4 linked regions of the Arabidopsis thaliana genome follow. The protein of the gene in region 3 interacts with the protein of the main gene of each other region in a pairwise test. Each region holds a gene or a part of one and is shown on either strand. Other genes may lie near its edges.

Region 1 (6,317 bases), on a different chromosome or scaffold from region 3:
TGAATCAAAACATTGGCTATATATAATTGAACGATTAATTGCAATACCGTGACGCCACAATCGTGGAAGATAAGGCGGAGGAGGGCGGGACCAAGGGAAGAGTCACTCTTAGTCCATTCCCTCACTTTCGTAACAACGATTTTCTCAAAATCTGGACAAATCCTATCATAATAATTCAACGATAATAGGTTGTCCAAAGGGAACAATGACTTTGTATCATCATCGTCATCGCCTCCGTATCCTCCCGCTCCAGGTAAGTCTTTTCGGCCAGCCGATACCGGCCAAGCCACGAGAACTCCGAGTATGACAACGACTGAGACCACGGCCAACTTCATTATTTTGCTTTCTTGATATCTCTCTCAATTTGATTGGCTTTGATGAATTTGTTTGATGAGAGGTGTGTTGTGTAGTAATTTATATATACAATTGGGTTTGGAAACTAATGTGATGCTTTTACGTGGGAGGCACAACTTTAAGATTTGAATATTCGAGTGACTTGCCTGCATGTCGTATATAATGTTTATGATATATAATTTTTTTTTGATCAAATGATATATATTAATAGTATAATTTTAAAAAACCTTTTTACAAGAGAAAAAATGATATAATGATCTTTACATTACTGAAATCAGGGTTTTGACTTATTTGGATTAGATTAATTGTAAAATTTATTTGTCAACAACTTCCATTGATTTAATTTTGTTTGTTTTTTGGTCGGTTATGTGAGACTATTATTATTTTATTTTGTTGTCTACAATTAACATACGTATATATACACTGGATGATGACATCAAAGTATGTTTTCGAGTAATCCGTAAAGCAAAATGTGATATATCGAAATTAACAAATTTTTTGCACAATCATTAATAATGAATTTGCTCAGATCCTCTAACAAAAATAGCGATATTACCTCTGCACATTTTTTAGCACGGAAAAATAGGTCCATTAGAGACATGTTGACAAAAAAAAAAAAACAATTCACCATAGGCTACGTTTATTGAAAATTGATGCATCTCAACAAGTTTTCAAACGTTCAAATTTTGAGTTTTTTTGAACTATACAACAAATTCTCACTAGTCAAAACCTTAAACTTTTTCATATATTTTTCTAGTTTTTATAATTTATATTTCTTACAAATAATTGTAGAAAACTCAATTTTTGGGTCATGAAAATCGCCAACAGTGTGAAAAGAGGCCAACCAAAAGCAGTTGATTCTCTAGAACTCATTGTTAATAACTGAAATATATGTATGTAAACTAATATTTGCTAGAATTATAAAGGAGAAAAGAGTACAATCGAAGTCGGAACCAACGCCGGCCGGTCGGAAAAATCACAGAAGAAAAATCGTATCAATCGCTTTTTCAATCGTCCATCTTCTTTATCTACCGGATAATACTTCCTAATACTTAAACTTTAAGAAAAAAGATTGTCAGCTAGCTATACGAAGTGTGGAAGAATACATTATCACATATGCCGCAACTAATATAAACGATACCCAGTTACCTGAAATATATATACGAAATATATGTCGTATGTGCCAATATCATAGACACTAAGTCTCGATTAATCGGTCGTTTTACTCTATCGTTGACTAATCGTTAACTCATCGGGATCCGAAAATGATCGGTTGTGAACCTTATTATTGGTTTCAATTATCGTTATTTTGTATAGAGACTATTTTTTCTTAAATCGTTTTATAAGAGTCACAAATCACAACTCGTCCTAAGTTCTCTCTCTATTCGACTAACCCAAGCACGACATTGACCACTATGCCTGGGCCTATTGACCACACTACAATAAAATCGCACACTACATGAAACTTGGGTTGAACATCTAATTTTCTCTAATTAAATTATTTTTACTTTGCTTAAAAGTTTTTGTTCCTGTCAGTTATACAATTTAAAATTGTTTGTTATCTTTAGTTCTTCAATTTGATTTATGATGTGGCATAAAATCCAGAAAGTGCATGGTTCCCACTCGACAACGGCTAAATTCCTCAACGGCTCCTTTTTGACTCTAGCATATTTAGGAGCCTTAATTATTAAATAATTTAATCACCCTTTAATTAGTATAACAATCCAATGTTAATTTTTTCATGCATTACACAATTAAATGCTTTTACCAGTATAATGACATGTGTTATACAATATCTTTCAAATTCAATTTTGTCCAAAATTATAAGTAGCTTTTTTATTTTTCTATAACAATTTATCACTTTTGGCCACATAAGGCTTTTCTTTCTCTGTATTCTTACACCTCATTCTTTATTGCCTTGTTTTACAGACACGTTCCCCAGTTTAAGGGACAAAACAGAGCCATTTTAGGACTCTTAACATTTATAAGTCCTCTTACTAAATAGATAAGCACAAATACTGTTTGGTTCTGTTTTGCTTCTTCATCATCATCGTATCTCCACCGTTTGTTTGTTGTTGTTCTGTTTCTTTAACAGGAAAAAAAAACAGAGAGAAAAATCTGTCTCTTCACTAACACAAATCCATTTTCTCTTCTTCTTGTAGAGAGACAGAGAAAACAGAGTTGTCCTCTAACTTCTTTCGATCGATTCAAAAACTCTAATGATTATTTGATTTTATGTTCGTTTGTTCGATTCTTAGATCGTAAAAAAATGGTGTCTTCTCCTCAGAGATTCGGTTTAATCTTAAGAGATCGTAACCAAAACGCTGGCGTTTTTCAAAAGAATCTGAAATCTCCGGTGAAAGAGGTTTTGAAATCTCATGTCTCCGATGAGAATTTAGTTGATTCTTGGATCGAAACTCACAATAACAAGAACAATCGTGTTCTTGAATCTCCGTTAGAATCGAAGAGAAACGACAATCTTGTGGCTTCTTCTTTGGTTCAGATATGGGAGGCGAGGCTAAACCGATCCAACGGTGGAAACTCGCCGAGTAGCAGTCAATCTACGGCGAGTAGTAGTAGTCGGAGCGATTCAGGAGTTAGTGTTCAAGATTCCGGTCTTTCAGAATCTTCATCAATCGATGGAGATTCTGAAATTGCTGATCGAACGGTGGAGATTGAATCTAGGTCACATGGTTTGGTTTCTGATTCCGGAGAAAGTAAATGGGGACGAGTCGCTGACCTAATTCGGAGGCTTAGCAACGAAGACAAGAAACGAACCGCTGGAGATAATGGCAGCGGCGGTGGCGGTGGACTCGAGATTATCAGAACGCCGAGGCCTTATTGCACTTCGTCGTCATCGGAGAAAAGTAATTTTCCGGTGGTTAGTTTCTCTCCGAAGATACGAGGACGACAAGCGTTTACCGATTTTCTTATGCAAATGGAACGTGATCGCCACCGTGAATTGGATTCGCTTTTTGAACGCAACGCAGTTTCTAGGTTTACTCAACGTGGTCGTCTCCAGGTAAATTATATTTTCACTATTTTGATAAAAATAACTAACATATTTGTGACTTTATTCATAATCCACTAAATGGTTTTTCTAATTACATTATTTAACCAGTCAATGCTAAGGTTAAGGAACCTCAATCGCTGTCTTGTGATTCAAGATAGAAACCGGTCTAACGCAAAAACAACCGGATTAAACCGAATTGAATCAGGCTCTGCTGTTCTGCATTTAAGGTTTTTTCAGATTCTCTGTTTTATGTTTTGAGTTTAGTTCTTAGGGTTTACTTTCTTCAGATTTTCAATCTTTGATTGGCAACGCAGGGAGAAATTTCATGCGAACGTAGTAAACTCTGCGGCTGCAACAGATAAGAGGAAGAATCATCAACGATCCACTGAGATGAACAACAAATCCGTAGAAGAAACAGAAGGAACTACTACCACAAGCACGAGGTTAAAGGATGGTGGTGTTACTCTCGAAGCTTTTTTCGCAGAGCGGTTGAGACCCCGTAACCGCAAGATAGAGGAAGCAACGTTATGTAAGGAAGAAGAATCTGTAAGTGGAACAGTTGATTCACAAAAGAATTGCCTTCAGCTGCAAGAAACAAGAGAAGTAGAAGAAACTTGCAACGATGGCAAGTCTGAAAAGAAAGAAGAAGAAAATACTAGCCCGAGTGAATATTTATCTCGAGAATCGCGGTTGAGACAGAATCAAGACGAGAACAATGTGGGAAAGTATATGCAAGAAACTCGAGAAACAGAAGGTCTAGTTCATGAGAGTAATGAGATGGACCAGTGCCTTGATCAACAAGAAACATCCTATTTGAATAGATGGGGAGAACAAGAAGAGTATGCAGATGAGCAGTCTTATTATGGAGAATATAACGACGACTGGCTTAGTGAAATAGCTAGGCCTCGGAGTTACTGGGAGGAATTGAGGAAGTCACGGTACCTGGAAGTAATGAACACTAGGTCTGAGAAAGATGACATATGCAGACTCCTTGAGCGGTAAGTAACCATCAAAATTGACAAGCTCATGTTTCTTAATGGTTAATAACTGACTAAGAAAATGAATTTCCCTGCTTAATACAGAAGAACGGTGACAGATTTCCTCGACAGCGGGTTGCGAGAGAAGATCGATAATCTCATGATGTCCCGTGTACAGACACACTCGGATAAGCACTCCAAAAAATGGGAATTGCAACAAGAAGAAGAGGAGGAAGTAAATTTTGAAATTGATGAAGAAATCAAAGAAGAGCCATTAAGAGGAGGTGAAGAGCAAGATGATAGAGATGACTTGAGCCAATCGTCGTCTTCACATATATCTGCATCGTCTCCTGCAGGATCATGGAGTTCTCAAGACACTGATGTTACTTCCACTCCTGCCTTGGTTGTTCAGAATCCTCAGTCACCTGTGAGTGTTTATCGATTTCTTGTTATACTATAGAAACTCGCAACCGCACTAGTGGTAAACTCATTGAGCCGCATATAAACGTTTTCAGGAAATGGAGCTGATAAGCGGTATGAGATCACAGATCCAACAGCTTCAGCAAGAAATGTCAGTACTACGAGATTCTGTCAAAACGTGTTTAGATGCTAACGCGAGCTTGCAACACAAGGCTCACCAAGAAAACCCAATGAAACGAAAATGCTGCGTCTGCGACGAAACACAGGTCGAGGCGGTTTTGTACAGGTGTGGACATATGTGCATGTGCCTAAAATGTGCCAACGAACTACATTGGAGTGGAGGGAAATGTCCGATTTGCAGAGCTCAGATTGTTGACGTTGTTCGTGTCATCTACGATACAAGAAACTGAAATCAACCGTTTTGAAAACGCTGAAGAATTCACTAACCCATTAAACCCTCTTTTCCTTATCGAGTTTGCGTTATTTGGCGTTTTGGGTCTGAATATCGTATTATGCTCTCTTTATACAGTTTTTAGGTTATGTTACCAACACTTTGTCCAGTTTTATGAAGTTTTTGATCTCCTAAACCAACCAAAAAAATTAACGGAAAATAGCCTAAAAATAAACCTTAAAACCTGAAAAGGCAAGTCACAAACAGAGCTTGGAAACATACATGAATTTTTGCAATTACTCTAGTAACCATCATTTCATTGATTTTGATACCTCATTGAGTACACTCTAAAAATTGTAGATTAAAGTCTGAAAACAGATCTTCGATGCAAAAGTGAAGCACATAGATTATAAAATACTCTCATAATCATCTACTCTTGGTCAAATTTATTTCATAAAGATTCAACAAAGCCAAACAAACCCTCAAAAATTGGAGATAGAGCTTCTAAGCAAACACTAAAAATTATACTTTTTGAGTTGTTTTAGAATCATAAACCCTTTATCGATTTTGATTTCTCAAAGACTCAACACTCTCTTTCTCTCCATAATATTTACACATCATCCGTAGATACATTACACTCATTTCATACATACATATTATAAATAAAACTCTGTGTTCTGTTTTTGTTTTCCTTATTCAAGCGTTTTGTGCGGTCAAGAAGGTGTTGAAGTCATCTCTAGCCTTACGCAAACGTGGAGTGATACAAGTTCGAGGCGAAGTAGGGCACGAAACTGAAGCCGATGAAGACGAAGTCGAGAACCTAACACGACGTTGCGGTGAAGACTCAGCTGATCTCCGGTGATCACGAGTACTCCTCGTCTTTAAAACGCTTCTCAGAGCCAAAGTCTCTGTTTCTCTATCGAATAAGAAACCAGAGGTCACCGGTTCTTGCACATCTCTTCCTCCATTTCCACCGCGGCTGTTGCACTTCGTCATCTCAACCGGAAAATCGAAAAACAACCGACCGTTATCTTGAATAAGAGCTGTCGTCGATGCCCAAGAACCGCATTCGAATTTCTCTAGCGAGGCGCGTACAGAAACAGTTGATCCCGTGAAGGAAGAAGCTCTGATCATCTTCTTCTCCATAGAATTTTGGCGTTTC
Region 2 (5,030 bases), on a different chromosome or scaffold from region 3:
AGATTTAATTCTTCAAACATATCATTATACCGGAGAGGGAGAGGTTCATATTCTAAAACATGTAAGCATTCCGAGCAAAAGAAATGTTTATATTATTCATCCAAAATGTTGGTTCGTGTCACACGATAATACACATTGTAGAAGGAAGACTAGAAGTAGAACCAGCTACATTAGAGTTTAATGTATCTATATAATAATAAGTCAAAAATACCCACTTGGATTATTATGTTCTTATCATTTTTGGGGTTATCAAAGATACTTTATAAACTTTTGACTTTTGCATTGGCATTGTCTTTACTCCGATGATCTACGCCTGAGAGTTGACCGCTTCACAGTCCAGTCTTCAAATTGTTTTCGCACTTACGATATCATTCATTTCTGATTCGTTAGGGCTCCCCCAAGCTTACAATCTTCCTTAGTAAAGTTTGGGAAAAAAACAAATAACATAAACATAATCAATCTCAATCTGAAACGAACTAAACACTACTATAGTTCATTTTCTCTCATATGTATATAACAAGATAATTGTCAAAACAAAAACTGTGAGTTGTAATCAAATGATGGCATTGATCAATAGTCATTGCTTTGTTGATTGAAGAAGATTCCACTTTTAAGGAAAAAAGACAGCTACAATAACTAAATTCTTTAAGGTTCGTTAGCAATGTAACCGAATACGTGAAGTAACACTAGCCATTGTTTAAAGAAAGAGAGTCGTCGAAACAAAACGTTGACTAGCTTATATGCTCTTATAATGATTTAGACAACTCACGTATATACGACGTTGAAGCCAAATTAGTTGAAATGTATATGTAAATGTAGTTGACTTTGGTAAGCGAATCTCCATTTTGGTCTTTTAAGAATCTGTAACGCCTGGAAATTGCCAATACCTCCGGTTCGTATATCTTTATATCATGATTTATGAGTGCGTATATTTGACTTTTTCTTGCAAAACCATACATACATAACATGCGAATGTCTTGTGTCTGTGTATATGATATCTAATGTATGGGAAAACTTGGAATATAGGTTTTATTTTCTTCTAGACAAGATCATGAAGTATAGTACGTATCTTTTATGATCATCTTTTTGGTCAGACGAAAGAATATTAGTTTTATATAATACATAATTTGTGATTTGTTTTTCTATCCTCTATAAGCACAAACATATACTATCAGATTATGACACATCAACAGTGCTAATATAACATTAGGCTGTAAAATCAACTTAAATATTTTGTAACACTTTTCTCTTAACTATTACAATAAACGTATAGCTGTTAGTTTGCAAGGACAGCGTTAACAACTTATTGTATCATAGTATTGATTCAAAACGTTAATTACTGTGATAACTATAACTTATTAACTGAAATGCAGACGTTGACAGACACACAAGAATTGAAATGTAGAAACGCGTTTATATAAGAGAACGCTAAATATATAAATTTCGGACTTTTCTAGTGAAACTCTATTAGTCTTCTTTTTTTTCTTTGGTCAAAAAACTTCCAATACGAAATTCGAACAAGAAGTATAATTAGTGATCAATAATGCGAATGATGCAATAAAAAGTCAAATGAAATGAAATTGATGAATTTAACTGTTATATAAAATTATAAGTTGACAGAATGAAATAGTCATATAATTCTAGTTCTAGACGTGGATAGCAAAAACTTTGTCGCCCATATGTATATAAAATTTGTACTCTAGTTATCTTTTAAGTATATAAGGCTTATATTATACATCGAAGTCAATGGTTCTTTGTGGTCTGGGTCTATAATCACAGGTAAGCACATCGTCATCGATTTCATTTTCAAAGTCAAGACCAATCTCGCTCTCTATATAATTGTTAAAAACCATCTTTCTAATTAAAATAGAAAGAGTAAAAGCCAAGTAACACCATTTTAAAAGGCTTCGCTTTCAATTCAGAAAGAAGAGAATAGAGAGCTTCTTCTTCTTCAATGGCGAAAATGGCGAAATTTTCTTTCTTCTCTTCGTCATCTCCTAAATATCATCCTTCTTCGCCTTCTTCATTCACTTCTTTCCCGGCTTCTCCTCTAAACCAGAACTTTACTCAGGCTATGATGGAGGAAACCGTGGAGACAGCGGACTCCGTCATCAGAAAATGGGACCCGAACACGCCTTCCTTCACCAAGATTGTCTCTCTGTTCAACCATAGCAGGAAGGAGGCTAAAGAGTTCATCAGATGTGTCCGTGATTTGCGCAGAGCGATGCACTTTCTTGTCTCTCAAGACTCTCAATCTCCAAAGCTTGCTCTAGCTCAGACCCTGATGCAGATCGCCATGGCAAGGCTCGAAAAAGAGTTCTTCCAGATATTATCTTCAAACAGAGACAAGCTTGATCCTGAATCAGTTTCCGGTCAATCCTCAATCTCCAGCAATTCTGAATTTGAAGATGTTATGGGATCTGACGACGACGATGAAAGTGACAATGAGATGAGGAAAGCTGGCGAATCGATCACTCAGGTTGAGAAAGCTTCAGCTATGGTGATGTCTGACCTTAAGGCGATAGCAGAGAGTATGATAAGTTGCGGATATGGTAAGGAGTGCGTAAAGATTTATAAGCGGGTCAGAAAATCTATTGTAGATGAAGGGCTGAGCTTGCTCGGGATTGAAATCTACAAAGGCTCCAGATTTCACAGAACGGACTGGGTCACGCTCGAGCATATGATCAAGAACTGGATAAAAGCTGCAAAGATTGGCATTGCCACGCTCTTCCGTGGAGAGAAACTTCTTTGTGATCATGTCTTTTCTGCTTCCAATTCAACAAGGGAGTCATGCTTCTACGAGATTGCAAACGAAGCAGCCACTAACCTTTTCAAGTTCCCTGAATTTGTTGCCAAGGAGAAGAAATCGCACGAGAGGATCTTCCCGCTAATGGATCTGCAGGCTGCAATCTCTGATCTCTGGCAAGACATAGAGATGATATTCCACTTTGATGCAGTAGCTGGTGTGAAATCTCAGGCGCTCACATCGCTGCAAAAACTAAAGGTCTCAATCCACAGTGCTCTCACGGATTTTGAATCAATCATTCAGAAAGATACGACGAAAGCTCTAACACCTGGAGGAGGGATTCATAAACTGACACGATCAACAATGAACTTCATCTCTTCCCTTTCTAAGTACAGCGGAGTCTTGTCGGAAATCCTAGCAGACCATCCACTCCCGAGAAACACTCGCCTGCTGGAATCCTATGTCAGAGCTCCAATTTCGGAAGATGAACAACACAATCACGCACTCTCTGTCCATTTTGCTTGGCTAATCCTGGTTTTGCTATGCAAACTAGACACCAAAGCAGAGCATTACAAGGATGTTTCTTTGTCTTACCTTTTCCTTGCAAACAACCTTCAGATCATCATTGAAACGGTTGGTTCAACTCCCCTAAGGAATCTCCTTGGAGATGATTGGCTCAATAAGCACGAAGATAAACTCTGCGCTTATGCTGGGAATTATGAGATAGCAGCATGGTCCAATGTTTTCATGTCTTTACCAGAAGAACCCACAGACCTATCACCAGAGGAAGCTAAAATATATTTCAGAAGATTTCACACGGCATTTGAGGAAGCATATATGAAACAATCATCACGAGTTGTACCAAATGCGAAACTTAGGGACGAACTAAAGGTTTCAATAGCAAAGAAACTTGTACCAGAATACAGAGAGTTTTACAGGAAGTACTTACCAATGCTCGGCCAGGAGAGAAACATTGAGATCTTGGTGAGATTCAAGCCAGATAATTTGGAGAATTACATCTCTGATCTTTTCCACGGTACACCAATTCATGCATCCTCTTCTTTTTCTTCATCTTCTTCCTCTTCATCCTGGAAATCACTTGGGTGTGTTTCAGGCTGAGAGACTTGATCCATAGTTTTGGCTAAATATTCCATTTTTTACATGATGTGAAGTGAAAAAAATGTAGATACGTGTGTTTGCATTGTGTGTGCAACAGAAAATGAGAACAAAAAAAAAAAAATGAGATTTTCTTTACATAATTTATGACGAGTTCTTCATTATCTAAGAAAAAACAAACTTGCGATACGCTTTAAGAATAAAACGAGTAGTCTCTAATAACCGAAGCTGATATAAATCTGATAAAGAATTCGATTCAGTGATATACATTCAAGAAGCCAATTACAAATCACAAAGAAGAAAAAGGCATAAAAAATCACACACAGCATACTGTAAACATAATGTGCTGAAGAACAAAAGCATTATTCACTCCTTCAATAACTAGAAAAAGAAGGAAATATGATATGCAAGAAAACATTTGAATCGCAACTATTACTTAGGAACTCCATGATCAGAAGGACGGGACAAAGATTGCCAACCGGTACAAATTTGCATGATTTGCTTGAGAGTTTCTGATGGTGGCTCCACAGTCCATGTTGGGTAGTGTTCACTTGGATGGAATACACATTCTTCACTGGCTCCTGTCATCAAGGAAGGTTGAGCTCCATTCAAGAACAAGTCATTTTCAGATCGTACTAACCCAGTTCTCGCTTCTTCCTTGTCAGCAGCCTACAAACAAACTCACACAAGATGATGGTGGTGGATTCAAAATAAGAACAAGATTTTCTCTGATGCAAATGAAAAGCGAGAATTAACCTTTTCTGAGTAGTATTCAAAAGTTTTCTTCTTCACTCCTGCTTCGTATATATTGCATTGAGAGAACACCTGATTTCAGAAACATAAGAATCTTCAGGTGAGACCTCAAGCAATGATCTAAGATCTGCAAAAGAGTTTACCTGCGCTTCTACACTAGCACAAACAGCATATATTCCCCAGTTTCTTGTGTAGTTGTTGTACAAATGAACTTTTCCAAATCTGAGACGAGGTTGTCTCTGCCTAGTTCCATCAAAGAAACAATGGTGAATGGTCACTCGGATACATCTATCCTCAACATGAGAAGGATCTGCTCCAATCAGCATCGTCTTGTCATGCTGTGCAAAATAACATCTGTAGAAACCAGAAGCAACATTAAGCACCAGTCAAGAGCATACATTACCCTAACCATAAC
Region 3 (5,352 bases):
GGAAGAAAGTGGTTTCGATCTTCTTTATAAATTGTTTTCTGCACTGTTGAGAAGCTATATCTAATTTTATAAAATGTTTGTGTCATTGAAACCAAAACAAAAAAAGGAGAATAGGTCCCACCGAGACTTGAACTCGGGTTACTGGATTCAGAGTCCAATGTCCTGACCACTAGACCATGGGACCATTCTATTCACGCTTTAATATTTGTTATTTTTATTGTGTTAGTTTCTAGTGTGTAATAAAAAAGAGAAATAAAATGATACAAGCTAAATGCTAGGAAAAATGTGGAAACACTAGTTTGGACAATGAGAAGTTTGAATTTTGATTTCAGAAAAGAAAACTAAATTAATTTTAGTGCAGACTATTCCGATTAGGTGTAAATGTGGTCTACATTTGTGATATATTATGAAGACGTAGAGAAGAGTTAGAAATTTTTGTCATCTTCTTTTGTTTCCTATGTTTGTTTTGTAATGCTAATGTTAAAACCGATTTGCTAGTTCAAAATGTCCGTATCTACCCGTATTGAATGTATGTAATTACCCATAGTATGTATTGTATATTGTAAACGATATTTTTTTAGTTTAGCTTATTTGACAAAAAAGAACGTCGTTTTTAAAGTAGAGTTTAGATTGCTGCTGCAAGAGTAGTTAGTATATTGAATAAAAGTATAGTGATATGACATTTTTGTCAAATTCTCCATGTGATATGTGAGTAGTAGTCAAAGACTCAAAGGAATAAAAGAGAAACAGACTAGAACTCTTTTTAATCTGAACCGTTCATCTATGTTGTATTTTTCTTCTATCATCGTGGCACTTCTCTAGTCTTCACACATTTTAAAATTCTTTTTTACTCGTATTAATTTATTTTTAAATTAGTAATATGTTAAATTATTTGTAATGGAGTTAAAAGAATCTGGAGGATGGATTTGATTTGACTGGCAGAGAAGGCATCTATCTCTTTGGGATGTTCCATAAGTATTTACTATTATTTGTACTCAGCATGTGCCTGTCTTTCATAATTCATATGCCAATCACAAAACTTGTGTTCAAATTAGTATAGAGACAATCATTGGTTTTGAGTTGTGAATTATGATTGGATAGTAGTAATCGTTAAGGCATCTAGGAAATTTTATGTCTGATTTACATTCAAAAAATCCTATATGTTTTAGAGCAGCAATATTTTTTTTTATGAATCCAAAAATCTAAAACCATGTATTCATTGTGTAACTATGATTGTTTAATGAGAGATTTTTAGCAATGATTGAACATCTACTATATATATTAGTGTCAAAATTGTCAAAGTTTCGATGTGCGACAATTCCAATAACTTATAACAACTGTCTGTAAAATTTTAGTGTATTGATCTTAATACCTACCTCTCTAGACAAAAGCCATAAGTTTATAAACACAATCCTAAAACATAAAATGAAGAACTATTCAATCCTAAACGAAAATGATTTATAATAATTATATTTCTGTTTGTGTTTTTGGATTGTGTATAACAAATATTCGCATTTAAACAAAAATACTATATATTATCTTTCTAAACACTATTCAATCATAATTGAACAATCTGCATGATATAAATCGTCAAAATCAATAAAAACTAATCAATTTTGCATTAAAAATAAAAAAACATCATCTAATTCAATACAATTTTTTTTCCTAAAACATAAGAAAAAAGGAGTATACTTTCTTGGCTCATGTATCTTGCCTTGTCTATGCATATTCATTTATTTCAAAATATGTCACCCATATTCATGTTTGTTGAAAACAATGCTACTTTATAGTAGTACGTAGTACGTTGTCTTTAACTCTTTTGACGTTCATATTATTTCCCAAAAAAAAAATACTAATCAAAAACGAAATGAGTCGGGTCTTAATCCGATCAAACGAGGTTAAATTGTGACCTAAACCCGTGTTCTGTTCGACTTTTGGCAAGTTCTAGAAAACACATGTTAGCTTTTGACGTTAGCATAGAGGTTAATGCTAGTTTTGATAATCTAGTACGTTGTCTTTATTTGATGCTCTTCTTTTTTTCTTCTCCAGAAAAGCCTACAAAAACTTAATAGAATCCTGTCTAATCCGATCAAACCAGGTTAACTTGTGGTCTAAAGATTCTAAACTCTTTAGAAAGCACTAATTTGGAAACATGGATTCCATGATATCTTTTTGCAAGTCATTGTTGCATTAATGAGTTAGCGGCAACAATATTTGTACTCATTGATTATGAAATTATTTTTGTTAAAATTAATGACGAAATTGGACAACATCGGTTCATGAACCCTCCAAAGAAAATTTACATTGCCCAAATAGACAACGCACAAACACAAAAACACCACACTGTCTCCATCTTTCTTTCCTCTTCTTCAACATCTCTCTTCTCCCAAGAAAATAAAACACAATTTCCCAGATTCAAAACTTCTTTTTCACAAATCACAACGTCTTCAAAGGGATCAAGAATCTTATTACTCTTCTCTTCTTTTGCTTTTAAGAAGAAGTAAAAACATCATCTTAACTTTCACTTTTTGTATTATCTTTCTCTTTCACTCACTTTAAAGTCTATTTAGAGATTCAAAAACAAAATCTTCCAGAAACTGCTTCTGATCTTAGAAGATGACTCACTTCTCCTAAAAAGCACCAATTTCAATCCTATTTTTTTCTCTTGTTTTCCGGCAAGATTTGGTAAAATTTTGTGTTCTGATTTGTTGTTTTGAATATCAACTATGGAACAACGGAAGAAAGGTTGTAAGATCAGGAAGAGAGGTGGTTCTTCCTCTTCTTCTTCTTCACTTGCTCGTCGAAACCGCTTCAAACGTGCAATTTTCGCCGGGAAAAGAGCCGCTCAAGACGACGGTGGCTCAGGAACTCCTGTTAAGTCCATCACCGCCGCTAAAACTCCAGTTCTGTTATCGTTTTCGCCGGAAAATCTTCCTATAGATCATCATCAATTGCAGAAAAGCTGCGTGTCGGCGAGAAAGCTAGCTGCGACGCTGTGGGAAATCAACGACGACGCAGACCCTCCGGTAAATTCTGATAAAGATTGCTTGAGAAGCAAGAAACCATCGAGATACAGAGCGAAGAAATCAACAGAGTTCTCTTCCATTGATTTCCCGCCACGATCATCCGATCCGATTTCTCGTCTAAGCTCAGAGGTTAGGGTTTGCTTCAGTTTCAAGTTTCCTCTGTGTTTTTTTTCTTTCTGAAATTCTAAGTCTGAAAAATCAAAATTGCACAGAGAATCGATCTCTGTGACGATATGATTCGTAGAAGATCAACAAATCCTCAGAAATTAAACCCAATTGAATACAAAATCATTGGCGCAAACTCGGTATGATTTGCAATCTTACCCTAAAAACACTTTTCTTGCGGAAGAAGAAAGGTCTGATTCTTAATTATATTACAGGTGAAAACTCGTTTCAAGAATGTCAGTGACGGATTAACAACGTCTAAAGAACTGGTAAAGGTATTAAAAAGGATCGGTGAGCTCGGAGATGATCACAAGACAGCAAGCAATCGTTTGATCTCTGCTTTGTTATGTGAACTAGACAGAGCAAGATCTTCACTAAAGCATCTAATGAGTGAATTAGATGAAGAGGAAGAGGAGAAGCGGAGGTTGATAGAGAGTCTACAAGAAGAGGCGATGGTTGAGAGAAAACTCCGGCGAAGAACAGAGAAGATGAATAGAAGATTAGGGAGAGAGCTCACGGAGGCTAAAGAAACAGAGAGGAAGATGAAGGAGGAGATGAAAAGAGAGAAGAGAGCTAAAGATGTTCTTGAAGAGGTTTGTGATGAGCTAACTAAAGGAATCGGAGATGATAAGAAGGAGATGGAGAAAGAGAGAGAGATGATGCATATAGCTGATGTTTTGAGGGAAGAGAGAGTTCAAATGAAGCTTACGGAGGCGAAGTTTGAGTTCGAAGATAAATACGCCGCCGTGGAGCGGCTGAAGAAGGAGCTCCGGCGGGTTTTGGATGGTGAAGAAGGAAAAGGGTCGTCGGAGATTCGTAGGATTTTGGAGGTGATTGATGGTTCTGGTTCTGATGATGATGAGGAGAGTGATCTTAAGTCCATTGAGTTGAACATGGAGAGTGGTAGTAAATGGGGTTATGTTGATAGCCTGAAAGATCGTCGGAGATTTGATGGCTCCGGCGGCGATGATGATGATGATGATCCGGTGGAGAAGAGATCAGTGATTGTTGAGAATGGTGAGAGAGATGAGTCTTTGAAGACTTTGAGAGATTACATTGTTTCAAATGTTAGATGTATTGGTCCTTCATCGTCAGAGCAGTGGAATCATCGGAATTTACCAAGCTCTGAGTTTGTGTAATCACCACCGCTAGCGCCGGCGAGGAAGAAAAAGAAATCATTTTTTTTTATAGTATATAATATTTCAGTATTTGTAATTTATTCAATTTAATTTGAAATACAAAATCAATTACGGAATATTTTTTGCCGGTATATCACATTTTTTCGTCTACAATGGTTTAACCTCAATTTACTACACATATCCAATCAAATCATTATTTGCATTTTCTATCAAAATATTCCGTTTTTATGATCGAAGTTTCAAGTTTGTAATCAAGTGATTTGTCAGAATTTGAAGTCTATTACGGAACTTAAGTGCTTATTTTAGAGAACAACAATTCATTACGTACGAGTTTTTATGTTTGTAACTAACTCTAATTAGACCATAATGTAGATGTAGAGAATAAGGGGAAACCAAACAAATCATGCTTGGAATGAATTGGAGGTGAATTGTACATTGTATATAACTATTAAAGAACTTATTTATTGGTGGCATTGAAGATATACACATGGAAACGTTGATTTGGTGTAAATTAAATCATAATGATTAGTACAACAATGAGAATAAGAACGAACAATAATGAGATATATAATTGATTCAAGAAAGGATTAGTTTAAGATTTTGAATCAAAAACGAAACAAGACATTTTCTCTATTATTGTCTAGACATTTGGACAGCATCGTTCCATCTTCCCATGTGATTTTGTCTCAACTATATATCCGTTACGTTTTACCCTATTTGGGAATATTTGGTAACAATTCAACCAAAAAAGTTACAAAAATTAATAAGATGACATGAACAATAACGAACAATAACGGATCTTCATTTTTCGATCATATATACACATGATTAGGTAATAGGTCAATTCGTGTGAAAGATATATGCATATACCAATCAGCCTTACTCTATGTCCCCCACTCAATATAATATTTTAGCTTAGAACCATATATATATGTACCATTAAACCAAATCAAGGGGTTTTGGGTTCCAAAAGTTTGTCTTTCTTTTTTTGTTTCATACTTTTACATAGTTTAGGGATAAAT
Region 4 (5,932 bases), on a different chromosome or scaffold from region 3:
AAAGTTTCAAACTTCTAAAACACGTCCCTAGATAAGAAGCTAAGAAACAACTTCACCCAAATGAATAAAGAAAGAGTCCAGTACCTCAAAGCGAATATTCTTGTAGACAAGCTCTTCAACATTGCTACCAACAGTAGGATGAGTAGTAACAACTTCACCCAAATGAAGTTTATAAAGCGTCGTCGTTTTACCAGCATTATCCAAACCAACAACAACAATCTTATACTCTTTTGCAGGAAACATCATGAACCAAAACCTCGACATGAATGCTCCCATCTCCTCCAATTTCTATCACAAACAAGATCCTAATCAAATAAAACACATCATTACTTTTACGATCAAATTGTTCTACAAACAGAGTGAAATCGAGAAACCCTAAAGATACATCCTTTAAATTGACCCATCAATTTTACAAACCCAAGTAATTGAATCAGAGAAGCCCAGATCAGATTTGGATACAACGATCCCAGATTCGATAAAGTTAACCAAATCTAAATTATATATATACAAATCGGGAAATTTGTGATCAAACCTTGAATCAGCTAGAATCTGAAGATTGCAGAGGTAAGAATCGGAGATCAAAAAAAGTTCTTCTTCTACTATTTTGTAAGCTTTTGAGGTTCCTTCCTTAAAGCAGATGGGTGGAGAGAAGAAGAAGAAGAAAAGTATGCGGGAAACAATGTCAAAACTGTAAATATGATGATCTAAATTATTAATAACTTTTAATATAACAAATATTAAAATGAAAACTATATAGTAATGTTTTCTTTTACTTACCCAAACGGCTGCAGCCTCTACCGTAATGGCACCGAACACGTCACCGCCATTAGCCACGACGCCAAAGACGAACATTGTTGAAGACTTGAAATCCACAAAGATGTTTTTAAACGAGAAAAAAAAAAACTCAAACGGGCTTAGGGCCTTTCCATATATTTTAGATTATAACAATTACATTTTCTCGGCCCACAGAAGTATATAAAATTAAATAGAAGTAAATTATATTGAGGATTTAAAATAACAAATTTAATTATAATTTGAAATCATGGTTATAATACGATCGTGTGAAATGTTAATTAAATGCTTATATTGATTATTTTATTATTAAATTTGTGCTAATTTTGGTAACGAATCTTATTTTTGTTATTGTATACGATGATTTAAAATATATATATATATATATATATATATATATATATATATATATATATAATAGTTCTAGAAAAGTCTAATTGGATTTTTTAGATCCTATCATAGTTGATAGTTCTCTTTTTGTATATGGCTAGCAATGCGGAATCGACTCTCTACATTAGATTCAATGAAGGCTTGGAATGTGAACTTGAATCGAACATGTGTGTTATGTAACACTCTTATCGAGACACGAGAGCACTTGTTTTTCAGCTGTAAGTACTCGTCGGCAGTCTGGTCCTCCCTAGCGAAACCACTACTCTAGTGACGATTCTCTACAATATGGCAAGCTCTAGTCATTATTATTACTTCTGATCACTGTAACAGAATCCATATATTCTTCCTCTAATACAGTTTTCAAATAATGGTTCATTCGATTTGGCGAGAACGCAATAAAAAAAACACACAATAAAACTCTGATTCTTATCACACATCTTCCTAAGTGAATAGATAAGCTGGAAAAAAAAAAAACTCTCAATCATTTGAAAGGAGAAATATAGTAGATACGAACCAAATCTCCAAACATGGTTTGCATCTAAAAGTCCTTAAAACCTCTCTTGTATAATCTAATTTCAAAACAATTTTGGAAAAGTTACATTTGATGTATCCTAACTTTATTTTTTCTTGGTCGAATTTAATATTTTATTAAAAATAATAATAGTAATAATCACAAAATCTAATTTGATCATTCTTAGGTGGGTAGGTACACTTATTTTACATACAGCCTCGACGGCACCAAAACATAGAATATATATATAAATACAAATACAAATATTCCAAATATAACCTCTCTCCCAAAGTCCTATCATATCAGAAAAAAAAAAAAAAATCCAAATTCAACACTCTCACACTTCGATATCTCCGCCTTCATTCTCCTCAGAGCCAACTGTCCTGAGATTTCGATTTCGATTTCTCCGATCTCTCTTCCTCCGTCGCCGGCGAAACCATGTCTCAGTCTATTCAATTCTCCACTCCTTCACACACTCCTCACCTTCTCCATCTCCCTCACTCACAATTCAACCGTCCTCTCTCCTCTATCTCCTTCCGTCGCTTCCCTCTAACAACCATCAAATACACTTCCATCAGAGCCTCCTCGTCATCATCTCCTTCACCGGATCTCGATTCATCGTCCTCATCATCATCCTCGCAAGTACTTCTCTCACCTAACGGTACTGGTGCTGTGAAGTCTGATGAGAGATCCGTTGTCGCTACGGCGGTTACGACTGATACGTCTGGGATTGAGGTTGATACTGTGACGGAAGCTGAGCTTAAGGAGAATGGATTTAGAAGTACGAGGAGGACGAAGCTGATCTGTACGATCGGACCGGCGACTTGTGGATTTGAGCAGCTTGAGGCGCTTGCTGTGGGAGGTATGAATGTGGCAAGGCTTAATATGTGTCACGGTACGCGTGATTGGCACCGCGGTGTGATTCGTAGTGTTCGGAGGCTTAATGAGGAGAAAGGCTTTGCGGTTGCTATTATGATGGATACTGAAGGTAGTGAGATTCATATGGGAGATCTTGGTGGTGAAGCTTCAGCTAAAGCAGAGGTTGTTTAATCTCTTCTTATTTTGATTTGAATTCGATGTAGACATTGCTGTGTTTGTGATTTAGATGTTTAAGCTTTGGTGGTGATGACATTTTTACAGGATGGTGAGGTTTGGACTTTCACTGTTAGAGCTTTTGATTCTTCTCGTCCTGAACGTACCATTAGTGTTAGCTACGATGGTTTCGCTGAAGGTATATGCAATTATGTTTATGTAAAAGTGGAAGTGAAAACATTAGATGAATATTATGGTGACTGCGTATGAAATAGGAATCATTTGGTCTTTGTGTGTGGTGTAGATGTAAGAGTTGGGGATGAACTTTTGGTTGATGGTGGGATGGTGAGATTTGAAGTGATTGAGAAGATTGGTCCTGATGTTAAGTGTCTATGTACCGATCCTGGATTGTTGCTTCCTCGAGCTAACTTGACGTTTTGGAGAGATGGAAGTCTTGTACGAGAGCGTAATGCCATGCTTCCAACAATTTCTTCCAAGGTTTGTAATTTTGTATCTTCCCTTTAAGCTTTGAATTATGATTCACTTTACTTGGTAAATTTGGGAGGGATCAAAGCAATGGTGAAGATGTACACTTTTGGAAACTAGATGAGTCCATGTTAGCAAAACAGATGATACCTGAGGGAAAACATACTCATTTTCACTGATGATACCTCAATTCTTTATATTCAGGACTGGTTGGATATTGATTTTGGAATTGCTGAAGGTGTGGATTTCATTGCTGTATCGTTTGTCAAGTCGGCTGAAGTCATTAATCACCTTAAAAGTTATCTTGCTGCTCGTTCCCGTGGAGGGTAAGTAAACATGCTCAATATCAACACATCATACTACTGTACAGGAAACATATGATCTACTTTGGGATTGGGTTTTGCGTCATGTATTCACCATCTTTAGTTATAGTTTTATTTTGATGTTGTATTCAACTATGATGCAGGGAAATTGGAGTGATTGCAAAGATCGAGAGTATCGATTCACTGACCAATTTGGAAGAAATTATTCTAGCATCAGATGGGGCCATGGTTGCAAGAGGAGATCTGGGAGCTCAGATACCTCTTGAGCAAGTTCCAGCAGCTCAACAGAGAATCGTCCAAGTATGCAGAGCTCTTAACAAACCCGTCATTGTCGCTTCACAGCTATTGGAGTCCATGATTGAGTACCCAACTCCAACCAGAGCAGAAGTTGCCGACGTGTCTGAAGCAGTAAGACAAAGATCAGATGCATTGATGCTCTCTGGAGAATCAGCTATGGGACAATTCCCAGACAAGGCGCTCACGGTTCTAAGGACTGTCAGTTTAAGAATCGAGAGATGGTGGAGGGAAGAGAAACGCCATGAGTCTGTACCGCTTCAAGCCATAGGCTCTTCATTTTCAGACAAAATCTCAGAAGAGATCTGTAACTCAGCTGCTAAAATGGGTAAATTTAGGTTCTTTGTTTTCCATAGAAGGCAATATGTCTTTAGTGTCTCATTTTACTATCCAAAAACTTGCAGCTAACAATCTTGGAGTGGACGCGGTTTTCGTTTACACAACGAGCGGACACATGGCATCACTGGTCTCCCGATGTCGCCCGGACTGCCCGATCTTTGCTTTCACAACCACAACCTCAGTGAGAAGACGCTTAAACCTACAATGGGGACTTATCCCATTCCGTCTCAGCTTCTCAGACGACATGGAAAGCAACTTGAACAAAACATTCTCGTTACTGAAATCAAGAGGTATGATCAAATCTGGTGACCTCGTGATCGCAGTCTCGGACATGCTGCAATCAATCCAGGTAATGAACGTCCCGTAATTCTCTCTCTTTATACAATTTCGCAATCCCGCAAAAGAGTGTTTTGTTTCCTACTTTTGTTACTGTTTTTAGACTACTCTTACATTAGATTCCAGAGGCATCATCATCTTCGGTTTGTTAACAACAGTAATGTGTAAGCTTTGTTTGTAGTGTGTACTGTTTGTTTTTGGTTTTCAATAATATCAGTAATCTTATTCAAATATTCGATTCTATCATTTAGTCCTTTTGTTTTATCTTTTTGTTAGGATATATATGTAAACCCAAATAGGATGAGTTCGAATATATACCATAACCCTATATTATAAATAGTGTATATATAATCACAATTAGAATCGCCTCTCCATTAGAGAAGATATTTGAACAAACATGAAAAGTTGCAAGAGACCTCGGATGAAGAATCAAGAGAGAGATTTTTATGAAACTCCGTCGGATTGTTCGGAAGAAGAGATTCAACGGAGTTGCGAGTTCGTGAAAAAAGTTAAAGAGTTGGATGATAAGACAATCATCGTTAAATTTTTAAATGCAATGAAGTCTTATCGATCTAAGTCTTTAAGTTACATCGATCTCAAAACCAAAGTCGCTTCTATTCTTCGTAACCACGACGCTCTGCTCCAAGAATTCCATCAGCTTCTTCTATTAGATTCACCTATCACAGAGAAGGATTGTAACTCGGCAAAATCAGACGTAGAACGCACGGTTGAGTTGATGAAGAAAGTGGAAGGTTTGGGAAAGGGTTTACACGGTGCGTTCCTAAATCAGCTGGTGTTTGGCGGTGATATTGTGGATTTGGTTGAACAACTCGACGTGATTCTCTGCGATCACGCATCTCTTAAAGAGGAGTTCATATTGTTTCTAGTTGATTCCCGTTTACTCAAAAAACCGAAACGTGGTTTTGAGGCGGGGGCAGAAGAGTATAAGACTAGACTTGAAACTGAAGAGGAATTATCATCCTCTGATGAGTTTTTAAATGGGAAATACGTTTCAAAGAGTCAGTATGATCTGGATCAAGTGAAGAAGAAGAGACTGATGCAAGAGTAAGAAGACGAAGATGACTGATGCGAAAGAATTTAAGGTAAAAACGAAGCTATGACCGTCAAGAACTAAAGAGCAATGTGAACAAGTGAAGAGAGTTTTGTTTCTTTTATTTTTCTAGTCTTTTTTTTTTATTATTGATTTGTGGCTACATTGTGATTGTGATTGTGAATCTCGTTATGTTTCTTTGCATTCGAGTCTTCCAATGTTGTTTTCTATTCACCAAAAAAAAAAAAAAAACGTTGTTTTCTTAGGAGGGCGTAATGAATCCTTTTTCAAAGTTTTTATGCACACTTGATTTAAAAACGTGTTTAGGAAGTTTATGAAAACTTCTGATACACTTTGGTTATCAAAAAGTTCATGAAA

The links.
Region 1: the proteins of AT5G22310 (region 3) and AT1G30860 interact in a two-hybrid assay, tested with the Arabidopsis thaliana proteins (one large-scale study listed by BioGRID).
Region 2: the proteins of AT5G22310 (region 3) and EXO70H1 interact in a two-hybrid assay, tested with the Arabidopsis thaliana proteins (one large-scale study listed by BioGRID).
Region 4: the proteins of AT5G22310 (region 3) and PKP-ALPHA interact in a two-hybrid assay, tested with the Arabidopsis thaliana proteins (one large-scale study listed by BioGRID).

Annotation. Positions count from the first base shown.
Region 1 is NC_003070.9:10,985,553-10,991,869, reverse strand, and holds AT1G30860 (RING/U-box superfamily protein), read left to right. Parts: upstream 1-2,276; 5' UTR 2,277-2,623; coding exon 2,624-3,376; intron 3,377-3,475; coding exon 3,476-3,594; intron 3,595-3,681; coding exon 3,682-4,365; intron 4,366-4,449; coding exon 4,450-4,771; intron 4,772-4,859; coding exon 4,860-5,174; 3' UTR 5,175-5,374; downstream 5,375-6,317. Other genes in the region: AT1G30870 (Peroxidase superfamily protein), read right to left, coding at 48-335; RSH4 (root hair specific 4), read right to left, coding at 5,852-6,317.
Region 2 is NC_003074.8:20,439,490-20,444,519, reverse strand, and holds EXO70H1 (exocyst subunit exo70 family protein H1), read left to right. Parts: upstream 1-1,869; 5' UTR 1,870-1,954; coding exon 1,955-3,865; 3' UTR 3,866-4,029; downstream 4,030-5,030. Other genes in the region: AT3G55140 (Pectin lyase-like superfamily protein), read right to left, coding at 4,295-4,531, 4,619-4,687, 4,759-4,969.
Region 3 is NC_003076.8:7,382,720-7,388,071, reverse strand, and holds AT5G22310 (trichohyalin-like protein), read left to right. Parts: upstream 1-2,238; 5' UTR 2,239-2,726; coding exon 2,727-3,155; intron 3,156-3,238; coding exon 3,239-3,331; intron 3,332-3,406; coding exon 3,407-4,330; 3' UTR 4,331-4,489; downstream 4,490-5,352.
Region 4 is NC_003074.8:8,137,238-8,143,169, forward strand, and holds PKP-ALPHA (Pyruvate kinase family protein), read left to right. Parts: upstream 1-1,947; 5' UTR 1,948-2,131; coding exon 2,132-2,734; intron 2,735-2,833; coding exon 2,834-2,924; intron 2,925-3,029; coding exon 3,030-3,223; intron 3,224-3,415; coding exon 3,416-3,537; intron 3,538-3,677; coding exon 3,678-4,156; intron 4,157-4,232; coding exon 4,233-4,534; 3' UTR 4,535-4,815; downstream 4,816-5,932. Other genes in the region: ARFC1 (ADP-ribosylation factor C1), read right to left, coding at 85-276; AT3G22961 (Paired amphipathic helix (PAH2) superfamily protein), read left to right, coding at 4,901-5,572.